2 linked regions of the Arabidopsis thaliana genome follow. The protein of the gene in region 2 interacts with the protein of the main gene of each other region in a pairwise test. Each region holds a gene or a part of one and is shown on either strand. Other genes may lie near its edges.

Evidence for each region.
Region 1: the proteins of PORA (region 2) and SEOa interact in binary tests that used the Arabidopsis thaliana proteins (3 or more experiments, as listed by UniProt).

Annotation. Positions count from the first base shown.
Region 1 is NC_003074.8:243,851-253,194, reverse strand, and holds SEOa (sieve element occlusion protein), read right to left. Parts: upstream 6,004-9,344; 5' UTR 5,980-6,003; coding exon 5,359-5,979; intron 5,278-5,358; coding exon 5,197-5,277; intron 5,127-5,196; coding exon 4,657-5,126; intron 4,579-4,656; coding exon 4,469-4,578; intron 4,369-4,468; coding exon 4,226-4,368; intron 4,152-4,225; coding exon 3,687-4,151; intron 3,585-3,686; coding exon 2,934-3,584; 3' UTR 2,723-2,933; downstream 1-2,722. Other genes in the region: SEOR1 (sieve element occlusion amino-terminus protein), read right to left, coding at 1-391, 731-826, 911-1,162; AT3G01660 (S-adenosyl-L-methionine-dependent methyltransferases superfamily protein), read right to left, coding at 6,763-7,068, 7,148-7,663; RGLG1 (RING domain ligase1), read right to left, coding at 8,133-8,270, 8,374-8,527, 8,628-8,755, 8,847-8,952, 9,067-9,146, 9,238-9,335. UniProt on the Arabidopsis thaliana protein: Scaffold protein required to form the phloem filament matrix in sieve elements.
Region 2 is NC_003076.8:21,988,677-21,996,521, forward strand, and holds PORA (protochlorophyllide oxidoreductase A), read right to left. Parts: upstream 4,139-7,845; 5' UTR 4,098-4,138; coding exon 4,044-4,097; intron 3,954-4,043; coding exon 3,843-3,953; exon of another isoform or gene 3,761-3,842; coding exon 3,223-3,760; intron 3,126-3,222; coding exon 2,767-3,125; intron 2,663-2,766; coding exon 2,507-2,662; 3' UTR 2,188-2,506; downstream 1-2,187. Other genes in the region: PTAC15 (plastid transcriptionally active 15), read left to right, coding at 1-102, 240-1,507; AT5G54200 (Transducin/WD40 repeat-like superfamily protein), read right to left, coding at 4,889-5,448, 5,693-5,786, 5,897-5,979, 6,067-6,118, 6,210-6,367, 6,633-6,723, 6,961-7,845. UniProt on the Arabidopsis thaliana protein: Phototransformation of protochlorophyllide (Pchlide) to chlorophyllide (Chlide). PORA may also function as a photoprotectant during the transitory stage from dark to light.

The sequences.
Region 1 (9,344 bases), on a different chromosome or scaffold from region 2:
TTCTTATGGTCCAATAGACAGCAATTGGGATTGTAGAGAGGATTCTCGACAGCTGAGGAACGTCTGGTGTAATGTACCGATCAGGTAACTCGCTGAGTTCCACTACACATGCCGTGACGCTCTTCATCTCTCGGATGAGATCGTTGAGCCCTTGGGACACAGACTCTAGGGTCACTCTGTTCTGCACAGGGACGAGCTTGAGCATAGCTAGGGACTTAGCAAGCTGGTTCTTTGAGTAGAATTGGACCAGAAGCCAAAACTCTCCATAGTTCAACGCGAACGCTGCTAGAGTCAGCACGAGCTTGCCGTCCCACTGGAAGCTCGAGAGGTGTTCGAACACGGACATTGTGATTTCGTGTGAATCAGATCCCGTCAGAGACTTATAGGCTATCTGAAAAGAAGAACAGAGAGAGAACCACGTAAACAGTGTATTGCTTCTGTAACAAGTTATTGCTGGTTACGTGTACAACAATCTTTAGAGAGTGTGGTTTATAAGAGCATCTATAACCACAAAGATTGATATCTAGGGGTAGGTGGAAACTGCGCAACCTAACCGAACCAAGATGGTCAACATATTTATATTTAGACTGAATATCCTGAAACTGAACCAAAACACACCGAATTTAGCCCGAACGAAACCTAATAACTTGGATGTTATTTTGGTGAGCCAAAAAAGTCTAAACAAAGAATCACTTGAATTGTGGCAAACAAAAAGTGAATGTAGCTATACCTCGCAGGCAACACGATCGATAGCATAGGAGACACTATCAAGAACGCTCATCATGCTTGACTGCATCAGTTTATCCTCAGTGGGCAACGGAAGCATCTGAAAAATCAAAGCAAGTACGTAAAGGAACATGATCATACGTACGTACTAAGAACGAAATTGATTGTGTGTAGGAATACTAACGGAGGCGTTGGTGTCTTCAGAGTCAAGAGTGGCACGATCGAGAATATCTTCAACGAGAGAGAGAAGGCCACGCACTTGGACTTCGCGAGCATCTGGGGAGTGAGTTTGTTGAATCAGCTTCAGCATCATGCTTTCGTCCGATGACATCGCAAGTCCCGTCGCCGGTATCATCTCCATGGACGGAGTTTTACCGGTCGTATTCTTGTGACCCGCCAGTTGCTGAGCGTGCTGGGACTTGATCAGCGACTCCATTCTTGGTTCAGTTTGCTTTTGTTAGAAGAAGAGGCTGTCTTTATTGGTTTGTAGTTTTGCTATGTGAGGTTAGCCTTAAATACTCGTTTCTCCCCCTTAGTTACGGTTGGAAATTGAGAATCGACTTCTTTGCTTCTGCAACAATTAAATTAAACATACAAAGAATATCAATTATATAATCTTGTTTCTTTTTTGCTTTTCTTTTTTTGGTGGCTTATTATAGAAGTTTTAATGAGATATATAGTTCCCGTCCACGTGAATATCGTTAGCACAATAAAGTATAGGCCTACTTTACACGAATATATATAGTAAATAAGAACTAAATCATAATGGGAAGAAAATGGTTCACTGAAATGTTGCGAGTTTTACTCGTAAATCTTTAGAGCTAGTACTCTTTCTTTATGTGTGTATTACTGAATTCAAATTCATATAAGACTAAAAGTGGATCAAAAACTACACTATTTTAATATTGCTACTAATGATATTAACTTCATTGCCAACTAGAAATTTAGATCCTAAAATATACAGATTTTTGTCATTTTCTTGGGAGGTTTGGAGACGAATTCCTCACTTTTCTCCATCATAATGATGATCACTGGACTACTAATTAATTCTCGCATTTTTATGTTACTAAAGGACATTAAAAGATAAGACACATTTTGTTTGCTACTTTGCTTATATTCTTATGTTACTTCACCTCATGCCATAGAATATTATAATTTATGGCTTCTGTCATTTACTTTAAGTTACTTTACATTGATTTTATCTCATGCATGCCTCAGAAAATAGCATCAAGAGTGAAGTGAACAAAAGGGTGTGAAGTTAAGATTCTTTGCTCTCTTTTGGGTAAAACTAAAGAATTTCTTAAGCTCAATGATATATCTTGGATAAGGCTAAAAAAAGCAATAAAAGAGTAACCAAGGATATATTTATCTAAAGACAATCACTTTTCTAAAAATAAGATTGTTATGCTTTGGGTTTATTCTATGCATGTTTTTTTTTTTTTCTATTAACTTTAGCATAACGTTTATAGGTAGGATTAAATTTGTTGTTTCTATACGCAACAAATTTTAATATCTCATCATTAGAAATACGTATAAGAGCTTCTTCGAAATCGAATCCGATATATGCAATATTTAAAAAGTATTTGATGGTTTGGAAGATTTAACTTTTACATTAACTACAGGCTAGGAACCGCTGATTTGTCGTTTAAAGTTGTATTCCCCCTTTGTAATACAGCAATCAGTCTCATGGTTTATTTTTTCAATAATGTAGACTAACACTTTTAACTTTCTATTAGATATATTACGATATGTGATTTGGACTCAAAAGACTGTTCATCTTTTGATTGATTGATCCATCCTTTTACTTTGCCTATATTTTACTAGCATTAAGTAATTTCATTTCAAAAGGCTAAATGTCAAAAGATATTACTGTCACATTAAAAAAATGTCACGGTCACTTGTGTTACTTGTGTATTAGTTCACTAGTGTTCTAGGAGCTTAAGGATCAAGAAATCAACAAAGAAGCAATGTTCAATCAGTTCATTGTTCTAGAAGCTTCCGATAAATAAACCTTTATTATTTCGAAATCTCAAACACACAAATTTTATTACAAAGACTCTCTGCTTTTAGTAGAGCAGAACAACAACAACAACATGAAGAGTAGAGAAACTCACAACAAGGAGGAAAAAAAAGACGCAAACTTATTTGGTTTTATAGGAACAAGTTGTTGGCTTCCAAATCAACTTGTTCCCCAGTATTATGGGATCTTACTCAAGGCAGCATTGGTACAAGTAATACTTTTCCATAGTCCTACGGCACTCGGTGCACTCAACCTCATTAGGTATAATTCCAGCAGTCTCAGGAAGCATGAACCTTGTGCAGTGATGTGGTGGGAGACGCATTAAGAGATGATCATTGAGCGCTGTAAGAAAACCCTTTGTGGGGATGTTGACTTCCCATTCGTTAAATTCAGCCAAACCCCTAGAAAACAAGTTCCCTTTGGCTCGAACCATCATGTCCGATGCTTTACTCACCAGTCCCCATCCATCTCCTTCTCCTCCATAACCTAACATAGCAACCACTTCTTGCAGAACAAGGTCCTTTTCCTCTTCTTTAAACCCTTCTCTCCCCTTGATTCCGTGGGCTTTCAGCATCCTCTGCTTCGATTCCCACATGCTCTCGACCCTGGTCCAGAAAAACCAGATCTGGAACAAGTCCGGCAAAGTATGGCTGAGATTTTCCTCCCGGATTGTGTTGATTATCGGCTGGATTCCATTCTTAGGGTTTCTTTTCCCGACATAAACCATCTCAAGTTGAATGTTTGCGGCCTTCGCTACATTACGCCAGAGACTCGTGAAGTTTTTGATCCATTGCATATCTTCTCCTCCGTAGAGACATATGTATTTTCCATCAACAAGCTGATAAAAAACATTTGAAACACACACAGATTTTCAGGTTACGTGTAACACAAGAGAAAGAAAAATTTATTAGTACTCTGTTTTTTTATTCAATCAAGAAACCTGGTTTAAGGAATGAGGATCAGTGCCATCAATCAAGAACTCAAGATTCCACTCCTGTTCGCTCCATAGATCACGTTCCCTTGCGGTGGTAAAAGGGTGAGCAAAGGGTTGCCAGATCCAGACCATAGGAAAGGCGTTGGTTGACATAACTTGACCTTTGGGATCAAGTGCAACGAGTATAGGCCTGTTCTTGAAACCCCACCATTCCCTCACAAACCTTATCGCGGCTCGTCTTAATTTCCGAGGCTCTCCAAGAACGTACCACCTCATGTTCATGTGAAGGGCCTCGAACTTGGCATCGTCAGCTTCTGTCCAGAAATCTTGAACTGGAACCCAAAGAATCTCGAATGACTGCTGCCATGCTTCTGTGTAGAGCGATTCCAGGATGTAGAGCTCTTTTTCGATGTTTTCTAGGTCTGATATCAGAAGCAGAACGTGCTTTTGGGTGAGCACGTTGATCCCGACCTGGTTAATGTTTGAAAACAGATCAGTCACTGACAAGAGACATATACAGATGCAGAGATATAAGGAGGTTTTACGCGTCTCTTTGAAACACCAGCTCCGTGGTAAAGAAAATCAATGGGTCTGAGAAGACGAAGTAGAGGAGGAACAACGTCGACGTGAATGATAGTAGTGAACGTCTGGATGAGTTCTTGATACTCTTCTTCGATTATACCTTCCTCTGTAACAGAGTAAAAAAAACAGAGCTTGAGAACAGAGGAATAAAAATACTCTTAAATATATAGAAACAGAGAGAGAGCTTAAAACGACGTCGTAGTTACCGATGGTCATTTTACTCTTCTTGAATTGTTCTAACAAGTAAGCATTGATCTTCCTAAGCCTTTCGCTATTCTCATGTATCTCCGAAACTTCCATAAACGACATGATTTGACTGAAAACATAGATGAGAAGCACATACTCAACTTACTCCTACTTGAAACCCTAGAAATCAGAAAGAAAAACAACTTACTCCTGCTTGAAACCACTGGCGCCACTGATGTGAGAAACACATATCAAAACACAGCGAACAATCCAGTAAACCGCAGTGGGGATATGGTCGGTAAACGCGGCTGTGATGTGGTTTGGCGGGAGTTGATAGATATCGATGATGGTAGTGGTGAGATCAACCATGTCTTGCATCAGAATTCGGGTCTTGTCGAGACGCTGGTGTAGAGCGTTCTGCCGGGAGAAGATGCTAGGGAGCTGTTTGATGAGAGCCAGAGATTTTGTGAGCTGATTTGTTGCGTGTGTCTCCGCGAGGAGGAGAAAAACGCCGTATTTCACGGCCAAAGCAGATAGGACAAGGACTAGCTTAGCATCCCAACGGTATTTGGAGACCAAAGACAGAACAGAGAACGTCGTCGTGTTGCGACTATCCAAATGAAGCCCTGATGTCATCATACCGTGAGACTCACCGCCATGGAGACACTTGCAGTCGATCTGTGTCAGAGACATTGATACTTAGATACTGACTCAAACGTTACTTAAAACAAGAAAGCTTCATATATACCTCGCAAGAGATTTGATCAATGAGATCCGCAAAAGTTTCAAAGGAGGTATGATCAGCGTAGTCCTTGAAGACGAGTGATGGCTGCAAAAAGTTTTAAATTTAATACGCTTGTAAAAATCAGTATTTGAAATGGGGATTAATTGTTGCACAAGTAAACTAAACCTTAGGAGCAGAGGAGTCAATGGATGGGACATGAGACTTGAAGATGTCATTAACAACGGAGAGAAGTGATGTGACATCAAAGAAGATCATGTCTGGACTGTGAGTCTTCAAGACTCTATCAGCCATGACTCGGTCATCAGAAAGTGAAAACATGGGTCTGCCATTTCTATGGAAAGCTTGTTTCTTTCCCGGACCAAATCTTCCACCGAGCGAATTGGGACCCAATGATTTCGGAACCATCGAATGTCGGATATTAGCATCAAGGATTTCCTCAGATGGATGAGGGTAATGTGCAGTCTTAGGGACAATGGAACCGAGATTCTCGCTATTATGATCCATCACCTTATTATGGTCCGCAGGAGCAGCAACATGGTGATCATCAGTATGACCCCCAAAGGGGTTGTCTTCGTGAGATCTCGGTGCTAAAGGACGCCTCTCGCCTGCGTTATCAGCCAGCCTCTGCTCGGCGGATCTTGGAATAAGGGAGACCCTTTTGAGAGGGTCGGCCGTTGGGAGGGTTTGTGAGTTCAATTGAAAGCGTTGGGCCATATTGGCGAGGTTGAGAGAAATATATGGTGAAGGATCTGATGTGTTGTGATGAATGATTGGGTTAGTATCCATGTGTGTGTATATATACTGGTGCAAAAGGTTAAATAAAGTGGCAACTTTGAATCAACTTCTTTGCTTCACCTTTGGTTCAATATCTGTTTTGGTGTCTTTTACACTTCCATACAGTTTTTCCCTTATCGATATTTCATAATTTTCATAATAATAAGAATTTCAGGTCTTGGATAATATTATTTCTAAATATGAAACGTCTCTAACGCAACTGCAACAGTCTAATACTAGTAGTGAGAAACATTTAATATTTCAAAGTTTATATACTGATGGTACAACGAGTTATCCTGATAAACATAACTAAATTTAGTATGTACATAGTAAAATAAGGGACTTCATAGCTATTTAAGAAGACACATGCATGGAACATAGATAGTGTACATATACAATGGATTTTTGTTTTAATATAAAAGACTTCCTTCTAATATATATACTGTTATTATAGAATCTAAACCATAAAGTAAGCAACTCGTGATACTCGTTTGAAGAGGGACAAGGCTACCTTGCTTGGATATTGTCCATGAATCTTCGAACAAAACGAATCACATACAATGCATGCTAATTGAAAACTATATATTAATTATATTTTCCAAAGTGTGTAATCTTTCTGTCAATTATTTCTTGTGTAATACAGGTTCTTCCAATTTGATTGAAATCTGTAATTTCATTCTCCACTTTTTAAAAATTTGTATTGTAAGTTTCTCCAGCTGGACTTGGTTGAGAGGTTTTTTCCTTTTCTTCAAAAACTTCCCATCCAATTCTTATACACTTTTTTTTATGTGCGTGTTACTCATAAATAGGTTTGAAATTTTTATAAGCAATGACAGCATTAAAAGGATCGGGCGTAGAAGCTAAACCGATAAAACCCATAAGCCGAGTCAAAACCGATATCTGAGCTCCAGGCTGTTGCCGGATGATCTCCGGCTGAGTAAACCCTTCAATAGACTGAAAGTACTGAACCACCAATTGGATCCGACTGTATTCGGTTCCATCACGCCAAACCCTAATTGCTTTCTCATAAAACATCCGGTTGCTAAAACTCACTATCAACACTCCTCCCGGTTTCAACACTCTATACACTTCTGCAAACACCTGCGGTTTATATAATAAAGACCCGGTTTAGGAATCTTCTTGACATAACCGAAATCGGTTTTGGTTTACGGTAACGTACCTTTTCGGGTTGTTGTAGATACTGTACACCAACAGAACACAAAACAGCGTCGAAATACTTGTCTTCGAACTCGAACTTCTGATCTTCATTAAGATCCTTGACGAAGAAGTAATCGAGTCTAGGGTTACGAGCAAGCTCCTGTGCGTTAAGACCATGCCCTACTACTTTCTCGTACTTCACTTCTTCTGGAAGATGGCTGACCCATGAGCTCATCAAGTCAAGTACAGTCGAACCGGGTCTCAACCGGTTTCTGTATAGTTCGGTTAAGGAGGATATGAAACTATCATCTACGTGGTTCACGAACCGTGGATATGAATAGAATTCACGGTCAGGATCGGCGTTTAGTTTGGTCCGACCTTCGTTGTTAAGTACTAACCTTTGGATCCTACCGGCCGAGGATGATGGTCGAGGATCGGTTTCATCGATTCGGTTTGATATGTTGGTGATTCTTGGTCGGAGAATTCTAGGTTTCAATTGAAATGGAGATTGTTGGAGGTTGAATCGAAGAGAATCCATAAGAAAAAAACTTTCGCTTTATCAAATTTCACAGAAGCGAAGAATCGTTTGTAGAAAAAGTGACAAAATTTATGTAAAAAGAAAGGAATGGATAACTGATGAGTGGTGTGATTATTTCTGCTCTTCCCTACTATTTATTTGGTATGTTTGCTTGTAGCCCAATTTCAGGCTAATGGGCTTCTATTGGGCTATTCATCCATTTATTTCTCATTGCTTATGTCGACAAAACAAATCAAAATTAAAGTGTTTAAGCAATCAACTTTGGTTTAATCGAATCTTGAAAAATCAAAGAAAGCCAACAGACAAATACATAATTCTTACAATCCAATCAAAGAAATTTTATGAACAAGATAAAGTTTAGGAATTCAATCAAAGAACAAAAGAACACTTTAATTTTCTACAGAAAGATCTGAAAATCTCTGGAAGAAATGGGATTTGGGCTGGTCAAAGCTGCATGTCAATGGTGTTGTTAGTAAAGCTTGATTCTGGTCTGGATCGGCGCACGACAAATAGGACACACTTTAAGATCTGGTCCGCATTCACAACAAGTCTGATGGCCACAACCAAACGCCATGTTTTTCGGGTTGCTCAGACATATCGGACATAGCTGTTCAAGGGGAAAATAACACAAACGAGTTTAACAACAAAAAGTTCCAAAGCTCTTATTTCACTTAACATTTCAAACAGATTCCTAAGTTTCTACTAATTACCTGAATATCGTCTGCACTACTCATTTGCTTGCTCTCAAATGGATAAGGAGGTACACTCGGTTCAAAATTCGGTATCCGGGAACTAGAGAATGATGATCCACTCTGCACCGGTGGCGGAAGTGGGATTCTCTGTGGGATATTTCCATTTCTTACCCTGCAAAAATGTAAGGGAAAGAGAAAGGTGAGCATTTTGTTTAACAATATAGCAGTTTCTCGCAGCTACACCTATCAGAGTTTTGATTTGGGTCCCTTACCCTAAAAGGTTAAGCTCTATCGTTGCTTTGTACTGTGGAGGGATCTCCATGAGAGCAGACAGCGCAAACTCTGTCTCCTTCCGAGACTGGTCTTTGTTCTTTGACATGATCTCTGTGAAGTTCACAAACTAGAAACAGAGCAAACATGTTAGAAAAATGGTTCCAAACTGAAGAAAAGAAGCAATCTTCAATGTCATGATATGAAAAAAAGAAGCTTACCTGGAAGTTATCGAAAGCTCGGGCAGGTATGTTATCATCAAATTCCTGCATCATGTCCCATGGTCCATCCCCGACCCCAACTAAGACTATTGACAAAGGAAGGGTACTGTAATAGAGAGGATGAAACTGATTACATACCATAACACTTTATAACATTACACTCAAAGTAAAGAACTTTAAAATGGAAGAAACATTAGTCAAAAGATTGAAATATTCGCACCTTGCTTTCACAATTGCATCTACTGTCTTCTGTTCTTGCGGACTTAGCCGCCCGTGTTCGGTATCGACACTTCTTGTGACCTGAAACAACAAAATGGGTCCACTTTGATATCCCTAGACACAAAACCAGAAGATCATACACAGCTTAGGCAGTCAAAATATTAATCAGTACCTGGCCATCAGCTATAATCACTAACACATGATATTGGCCACTACTCTGCTCAACCACTGTCATTGCCATTTCAATGATCGGGGCAAAAGAAGTTGGTCCTGAAATAC
Region 2 (7,845 bases):
AGCTACAACCATTGCTTATCAGCTGCTTAAATCATCGAGAACCTGCTTTAACTTTCCGATGTAGCTGCCTTAGCTCTCCGATTGAATCCGGAAGTCAAATTGGTAGGTGAATCTGACTATCTGACATTTCTCTGCATTCATTTGTTCTCTGAAGCATATTTGCAAACACTTGGTGTGCGTTAATGCAAACACTTGTGTGCGTTAATGCAAACACTAAGTATCTCTCTTTTGCTTTGCAGAATCTCTGTTTTCGTTATTCCGAGATATTGGGTTTATAGAAGAAGAAACTGAGATGATTTTAGCGAAGAACCCAGATATAAAGTCGACATCTTTGGATAAAATCGGTGCTCGTGTTGCTTCTCTTCAGTCTCTGAAAATCAATGGCTTCCCGCTTCAGGGTTTGATAGCTAAGTGCCCTAATTTATTGACTTCAGAAGAATTTGATCTCGTTATTAGTTTCTTAGTTGATGAACTTGAAGGAAGGCTTGATCCTGAATTAGTTGAGCGCTTACTCTCTGTGGTAGACACATCTATCTTGCTTAGTTTTAATCAGAAGGTGAGATTGCTTCTCCTCCATGGGATACCTAAAGAAAAGATCTCTCATGTATTGAACAAAGTGTACCTAAATAAATTGCTGTATCAGAAATCAGTTGAAGATATTGAGAGATTGATTAGTTTCTTGGAACCTTTTGGTGGAATTGGTATAATTGCTAGGCGGCCAGTGATTCTCAATAGTGACTTGGATAGTCAGTTGATTCCTAGGGTTGATTTCATTAGGAATCTAAGCGGGGAAGACGATTTCGCTACTGGAACGGTGCTACGTAGACTTCCTGCCATATTGAGTTATAGTGTTGAGCATATGAACGGCCAAGTAGAGTTTCTCAAGTCTTTTGCTGGCTTGACGAGTGAGCAAGTGTTTAAGATTGTTCATGTGTTCCCTAATGTTATCAGCACTAGTAAAGAGAGGAAACTGCGCCCGAGGATAGAGTTTCTGAAGGAATGCGGCTTTGATTCCCCCGGCATGTTCAAATTCTTGAGTAAAGCACCATTGATTTTAGCTCTATCCGAAAATAATCTCTCGCACAAACTCGGTTTTCTGGTGAAGATTGGATATAAGCATAGAACAAAGGAACTGGCCTTTGCGATGGGAGCTGTGACCAGAACAAGCTCTGACAATATGCAGAGGGTTATTGGACTGTACTTGAGTTATGGTCTTTCATTCGAAGACATTCTAGCAATGAGCACAAAACATCCTCAAGTCCTGCAGTATAATTATACTTCTTTAGAGGAAAAACTGGAGTATTTGATCGAGTACATGGGTCGTGAAGTCGAAGAACTTCTTGCATTCCCTGCATTTCTTGGATACAAGCTTGATAGCAGGATCAAGCATCGGTATGAAGAAAAGTTGAAGAGCAGAGGTGAGAACATGTCTCTTAACAAGCTTTTGACAGTATCAGCTGAAAGATTCTCTAAGGCGGCTGATAATATCGAAATGATTTGTTTATGACCAAGTTTGAGTTCATTGAGAACTTACATCAATAGTTTTTATCACAAATTCTCACTTCGATATCAACAGTAATACTCTAACTGTCTTGATTTTATAGAGTTAAGCTTTTCATTATGTAAAACACTTACAAACTAAGTAGAGAACATGTCGGTCAGAAAAACGAGAATATTGCAAAACTGGAGCACTAAAAAGGATCCGAGTAGGGACTATTCAAAGCAAACTCTACCCTGCCTGGATTTTATTTGGAGCAAATAATATAAGTTTGGGCTTTTCGTAAATATAAGTTAAGTGGGCGTTGGCCCGTATATCGCCAAATCGAGTTATGTCATGTGCTCCGTAAAAGTCCCACATCGCTTGCCTAGAAACTTAACTTCTTGAATATATAAGACTGTGAGAGCGTTGATGGTCACGACCTTACTTGAACAGGATCTGTTCTATAGGCTCGTACCTCTGTTTCCTTGATTTCTCAAGAGACAGGCCTTTTACCCTGGTTGATGAACCATGACCGTGCGGCTAGAGCGTGATTGACGGCCACGATCGTCTTCGGACGCATCCGGTGCTGTAGAGGATCGTTACTCGGCTCGGTTCTACCTTGCCGGGGTGGTCGCACGGCGGTCTGACAGGTCCCTTTCCTTCTTTTTTTTTTTTTCCTTTCTCCGGTTTTTTTTGCTCTGTTTTGAGGTCTATTGAACACTCGCTAAATTAAAAATAAAAACATATATGATTGTAGGTGATATTAGAGTCTCTTTATTTCTAATCTTTTTGTTATAAAGCTGTATGACTCTGCTTCTCCTTGTAGTTTACAATCTCTGTTTCATGTTCTTTGACAAAAAAAACTTGAAAAGTGGAATTATTTGTTTCATTACAGATAGAATCAGCCAAAACACAACTACTAAATCAAAGTTGTTACAGGCTTTATTAATGTCTCCTTTTTTGTTTGTTTCTCATCTTAAGCCAAACCAAAGGTTGAAACACCGAGGAAAAATCTCATATCAAATTTTAGGCCAAGCCTACGAGCTTCTCGCTGACTTCCCAAACTCTACGAGCCTTCTCGACATCGCTAGCTTCTTGAGACAGCTGATTCTCAAATGAAGCCGAGGTCTTGTTCCAGCTCCAATACACTCCCGACTTCGTCAAGCTTGGATCAGCCACCACCTTCAACAAATCAATACATAGGTTGAGTACATAGCAAGAATAATAAACTGAAAGAATGGTTTCTTGCGTCACAAACAACGTTAGGTTTTGGTTAATTTTCTAACCTGAGCAAGTCTTTTCCCAGCCTCTGACTCGGAGACGTAACCTTTTGTGATGTACTTCTGGAAAGGAGGGAAGAGGGTACGGAAAAGAGGAATATGCTCTCTGAACAAACCAGTCGTTGCAATACAACCGGGGTAAAGGGAAGCAAAAGTTATGCCGGTGTCTTCATGGAAACGCCTATGAAACTCCTGCATTGTCAACATGTTGCAGACTTTGCTATCTTTATACGCCTTTGCGCCAACAAAATCTCCTCCATCTATCATCGCCGAGCTGTTTAGCCCGTTCAACCCGCCTGCTAGTCCCCTCAAATCACCAAGATTAGCCTTTGGAGGTACATTACCAGCCAATGTATTAGTGTTTCCTGCTCAATAAGAAACAAAACGAATAAGATTTCAGATTTAGGGTTTAGAGTAAGTAGTAAGTACATAAAGCATTCTTCTTATGAGGAGACTACAGACCGGTTATGGATCCAACAATGATGAGACGTTTTGATGGATAATCGGAGTTCTTCAAGTCATCAATCAACAATCTTGAAAGAAGAAAGTGGCCCAAATGGTTTATCCCAACGCTAAGCTCAAACCCTTCAGCAGTGAAAGTAGGTTGATTAGCCGTTGGCTGATAGACTGCGGCATTGCAGACCAACACATCGAGAGGCATCTCAGCTCGCCTGAAGTTATCAACAAACTGCCTCACGCTGTCCAAAGACGCCAAGTCCAAATGCATCACAGTGTAGCTGTCCTTAGGCATCCCTGCAGATTGAGCGGCTCTCTCAGCCTTGAGGAAGTCTCTGCACGCCATTATCACGTGCCATTTACCTGTCTCGGCTAATGCCTTTGCCGTTGCTAAACCTAGCCCTGAAGAAGCTCCCGTGACAACCACGTTTCCTTTTCTAAGTGTTTTCTTGCGGTCTAAGGAAGATTTTGTGACTGATGGAGTTGAAGTCGCGATTGCTTGAGCTCGAATAATCGCTTTATTATTCCTCAAGCTCTGTTCCCTCTACAAAGTAGAAGCATTTCAATTGATTAGATTATTACATCATTTTCCAAGAAAAATACTCATAAAAGATTGTGTTTGGTACCTTGCATCTCAATGAGGAAGAGACAAAGTCAGCTTTGCTTTGCTCCGAAAGTGAAACACCGAACAGACTAGACTCTTTGAATGATGATGATGCTGAAGCATTTAATTTTCCCTGCAACCAAAACATGCGAATTAATCTCCGAGACAGGTCATAAACAAAAAGGAAACGATTACTAAAACAAAGAAAGAGATAATAAAATACATCTTTGCGGACAGAGAAAGCAGAGGAGACCAAAGAAGCAGCTTGAAGGGCCATTGTTTCGTTTAAGACTTAAAGAGTGTAATGTGAATGTTATGCAAATGTCTGTGCTTGCGTGAGTTTATATAGAAGTTGAGACAAGAGAAAGGTGGTCCCCTCCCATATGTGTTTCCTAGGATATGTGTGGATAAGATTATCTTTAGGGAAAGTTTTTGTCAGTTTCTTTTCTTAAAGCCAATGATAATTCGAGAATTAGATTTTCTGTCAGTAGATATTTTAATGTATAATTTCATGGGACTCCATCTCTTTGTGTATGGGAGGATTAACAGAGAGCTAGAGCCCTAGAGGTATGAAACAAAATTATACTCTGACTTGTTATGGACACTCTGATCTAAAGATAAAACTGTTCATTGAAATGATGAATTGACAAAAATACCCAATTATTTTACATGTAAAGATAAACCTAAAGACAATTACAAAATGTGTATACAAAAGTTTACCATATATTCTCTCCTTGAAGAGTTATAATATCAGAGACAAATTCTACAAACTTCAAGTTGAATAGCACAGACTTTCATCGAAGCAAACTATATTGGTATATGAAGTTTCTTTTTCTGCCTATTTGAATCTTTCTTAAAAATAACATTATATATATTTGCTAGAGATTTGAATTTTAGAGATAACAAATCAGATAAATAAAAGAAGCGTGGTAAAAAAAAAAAACGAGAGAAGTCAGTGGATGAACCAAACCTTCTCTCAATCTATACACTTTTGACAGGAGATGGTTTTACTAAGGGAAAATTTCACTTTGCCTTAGGATTTTGATATTGTAAAACCTTCTCCTTGCATCATAGACGAACTGGAAATCCAAAATTCTGAAATATTCTGATTTCGCCTCGTAGACTGCCAGTCACAATCACCATAGACCACGCCGAGGCACTCGGTTTTGTGTTAACCTGTATGTTAGACATGTCCACGCTCACACGAGGGCTTGTTCTGGCTCGGTTTTTTGCAGCCAGCAAGAGTTTTTCTTCAGGCCATGTTGCTGAGACTCTATCGAAGAAGTATCGGTTTGTGGCGCTTGAAATGATACCGTTGGTGACGGTTTTGTTGTTGGTTGGATCGTTGACAGGTGTCGGAGGGTTATTATTGGCTGTGAAGGATGACTGTTCGGGGCTGTTGTTAGTGTGGTTGTTACTGATTTTGCCAGGCCAAGGTGCAGCCACAGAGACGTCACGACAATAAAAGTTTTCGTATGAGTTTGTGACTGTGACACGTTTGCTTCTTCCTGCTCGAGAGTCTGAGTCGTAGTTCCATACATACACATTAGAGTCTTCGCTTGCTGATACTAGGAATTTCCCGTTTGATGTAAGTGAAGCCGAGATTTGGCTATTCGTGTTGCGAAATCCTGCGAACCCGAAAATTTTCTAAAACTCAGAAAAACACACATTACTTGGCAAGAACGTTGAGCTTATTTTACTCCAACACCAGATCAAGAAAAAGCGAAAGAACATCATGTTCATGAAATGTGGGACTCATGTGTATCTTAGATGACGATAGAGCGAGAAATTCACCTCCATGAACAATAAAGTTATTCCTAACTCCCGAGTTCTAAGAATGGAGAAGAGAGTTTTAAGCTTAGTATTGTTTACCTTTAAACTTGTGAACAAGGTCAACACCATCAACAACACGCGTACGTGAATCTGCAGATGTGACGAGAACTTCCGATGAACTTCCTGCCACAAACTGTGAAAGTTTCACGAGAATAGTCAGATAAACCAGTACAGCATCCAAAACAAAATTGTAGTATAAATGAAAAGATGAGAACAGAACGGTGTAAGTTGTTTTAGCTTTACCTGAAAACCAGTGATTTTCTTGTGATGGGTTTTCTTTTTCCTGTTCTTCAGATTGATTTCGCGTCTCTGCTGCAGTTTGTTATCTGAATAAACAAAAAAGATAATAAGTTCAAAAGACGAGATGGAGAAACAACTCAAGTTTCAGATGAGTAAGTTCTCAGCTTATGTACCATGTGTGTTGTATAAGCAGCATGTTCCTTTGTATGAACCAACCAATGCACCCTTTACAAACCAAGAGAGCTTTATTAAGGTACTGCGTGATTTAGTTTTACCCAAAGTCACTTCAATGTAAGAAAAACTTTTAATGGCATACCTGTCCATCCGGTGTGTAGCAAGCAGCTGTGACCATCTCATGAAGATCATTCCAATCAACAACTTGATGATCAGGAATACTCCATATCCGAACTTTTGCATCCAATGATCCGCTGATGAAGTAATTGTCATCCACGGGATTAAACTGGATGCAAGTCACTGTATCGAGGAAACAGAAAACTAGATGAGAGAAAATTTTATGTTACATAACCAACATAGAAATTCTTGTGTTTCAGGGATTTATTTACAAGTGGAAGAAGCTTGATTCATACCACATTATATTGACATATGAATCTTTCCAGAACAGAGTTGACACCTAAAATGACTTAATATTCTTCTAACAATATATGCTTAGTTTCATAAAGACTAAGAAGAAAAGTAAATCATGATCACTGGTGGGGAATAGGATGGTATATCCACTCACCGTAGTCACTATGTGAGAAGACTTTCAAACATGTCTTGCTAGATAAGTCCCATAGACGAACAGTCTTATCCATGGAAGAGGAAAGCAGGTGCTGGAAACAAAAAAATGAAGTGCAAAGTCTTGAGAATTCAAGATTTTATCTGATTAAGAAAGACGAAGCAGATTCTCACATAACAAACTTAGAAAACCTAAACTTAGCACTAGTAAGATGAGCAAGGTTCGCATGAAAATTTTTGCTCCACAAAATAAAGTTACCAGTTTGAAAACAAACTTCATGCTTTAAATAAGAATTTGTAGCGAAATGAGATGATCGGGAACTCGTACCCACCTGAGATTTTGACCACGAAAGATCAAGTACGTCATCCAAATGCCCTACAAATGAACACACGGGTTTCTCTGAAAGACCAAAGACTGCCTCTGGAACAAGAACATTGTCCAAGCTCACTGATTTTCGGCTAAAAGATGTTCTTCCTCTTCTCTTTGGAGACATTGAAACGGGTTCGGGTGATCCATTTGCTAAAAGAAACAAATTTATACTTCCATCTTCTTGTTTATCCATCGACAAGAGTTCCCCTTTTCTTTCTGACTCAACAACCTTCCAAATCTGAATAACACAATCCTCACCAGCACTAGCAAGATACCTCCCATCCAAACTAAACTTAATACTCCATATCGATCCTTTATGAGCTTGAATCTCTTGACTCTTGAAAAGTGCAGTAAGCTCTTTACACGACTTCCCATACTGCCTAACCTTAACTCTCTCAGGGTCATGAAAAGACATATCTCGACTATCATCAGTTGCAGAGCTAAACCTCTGACCACCTCTCTCAGACGGTGAATCCCTATCATCGGTGCTCCGTCGCTCTTTATACCCAGTCACACTACTAGCAACATTCTTAATACTCTTTAACCAACTCCCTCTCCTTCTATGTTTAGTCACCCTGCTTCCACTAACATTAGTATCCAAATCCACAGAGTCTTTACAAACATCTTCAACATTTTGCCTCCTCATCAACTCAAGCACAATCGGTGACGTACCAACACAAATCTCAAACTCCTCCAGAGTCAATTGCCGATCAGTACCTACTTCCTTCAACCTCTCCAACATCCCATCTTCTCGAACTTCATTCACCACAAACTCTCTCCCAGTATCTAAATTCCTAATAGTACACATTTGCTCCTCTAAAACAACATCTCTACCATTCTCTTTCTC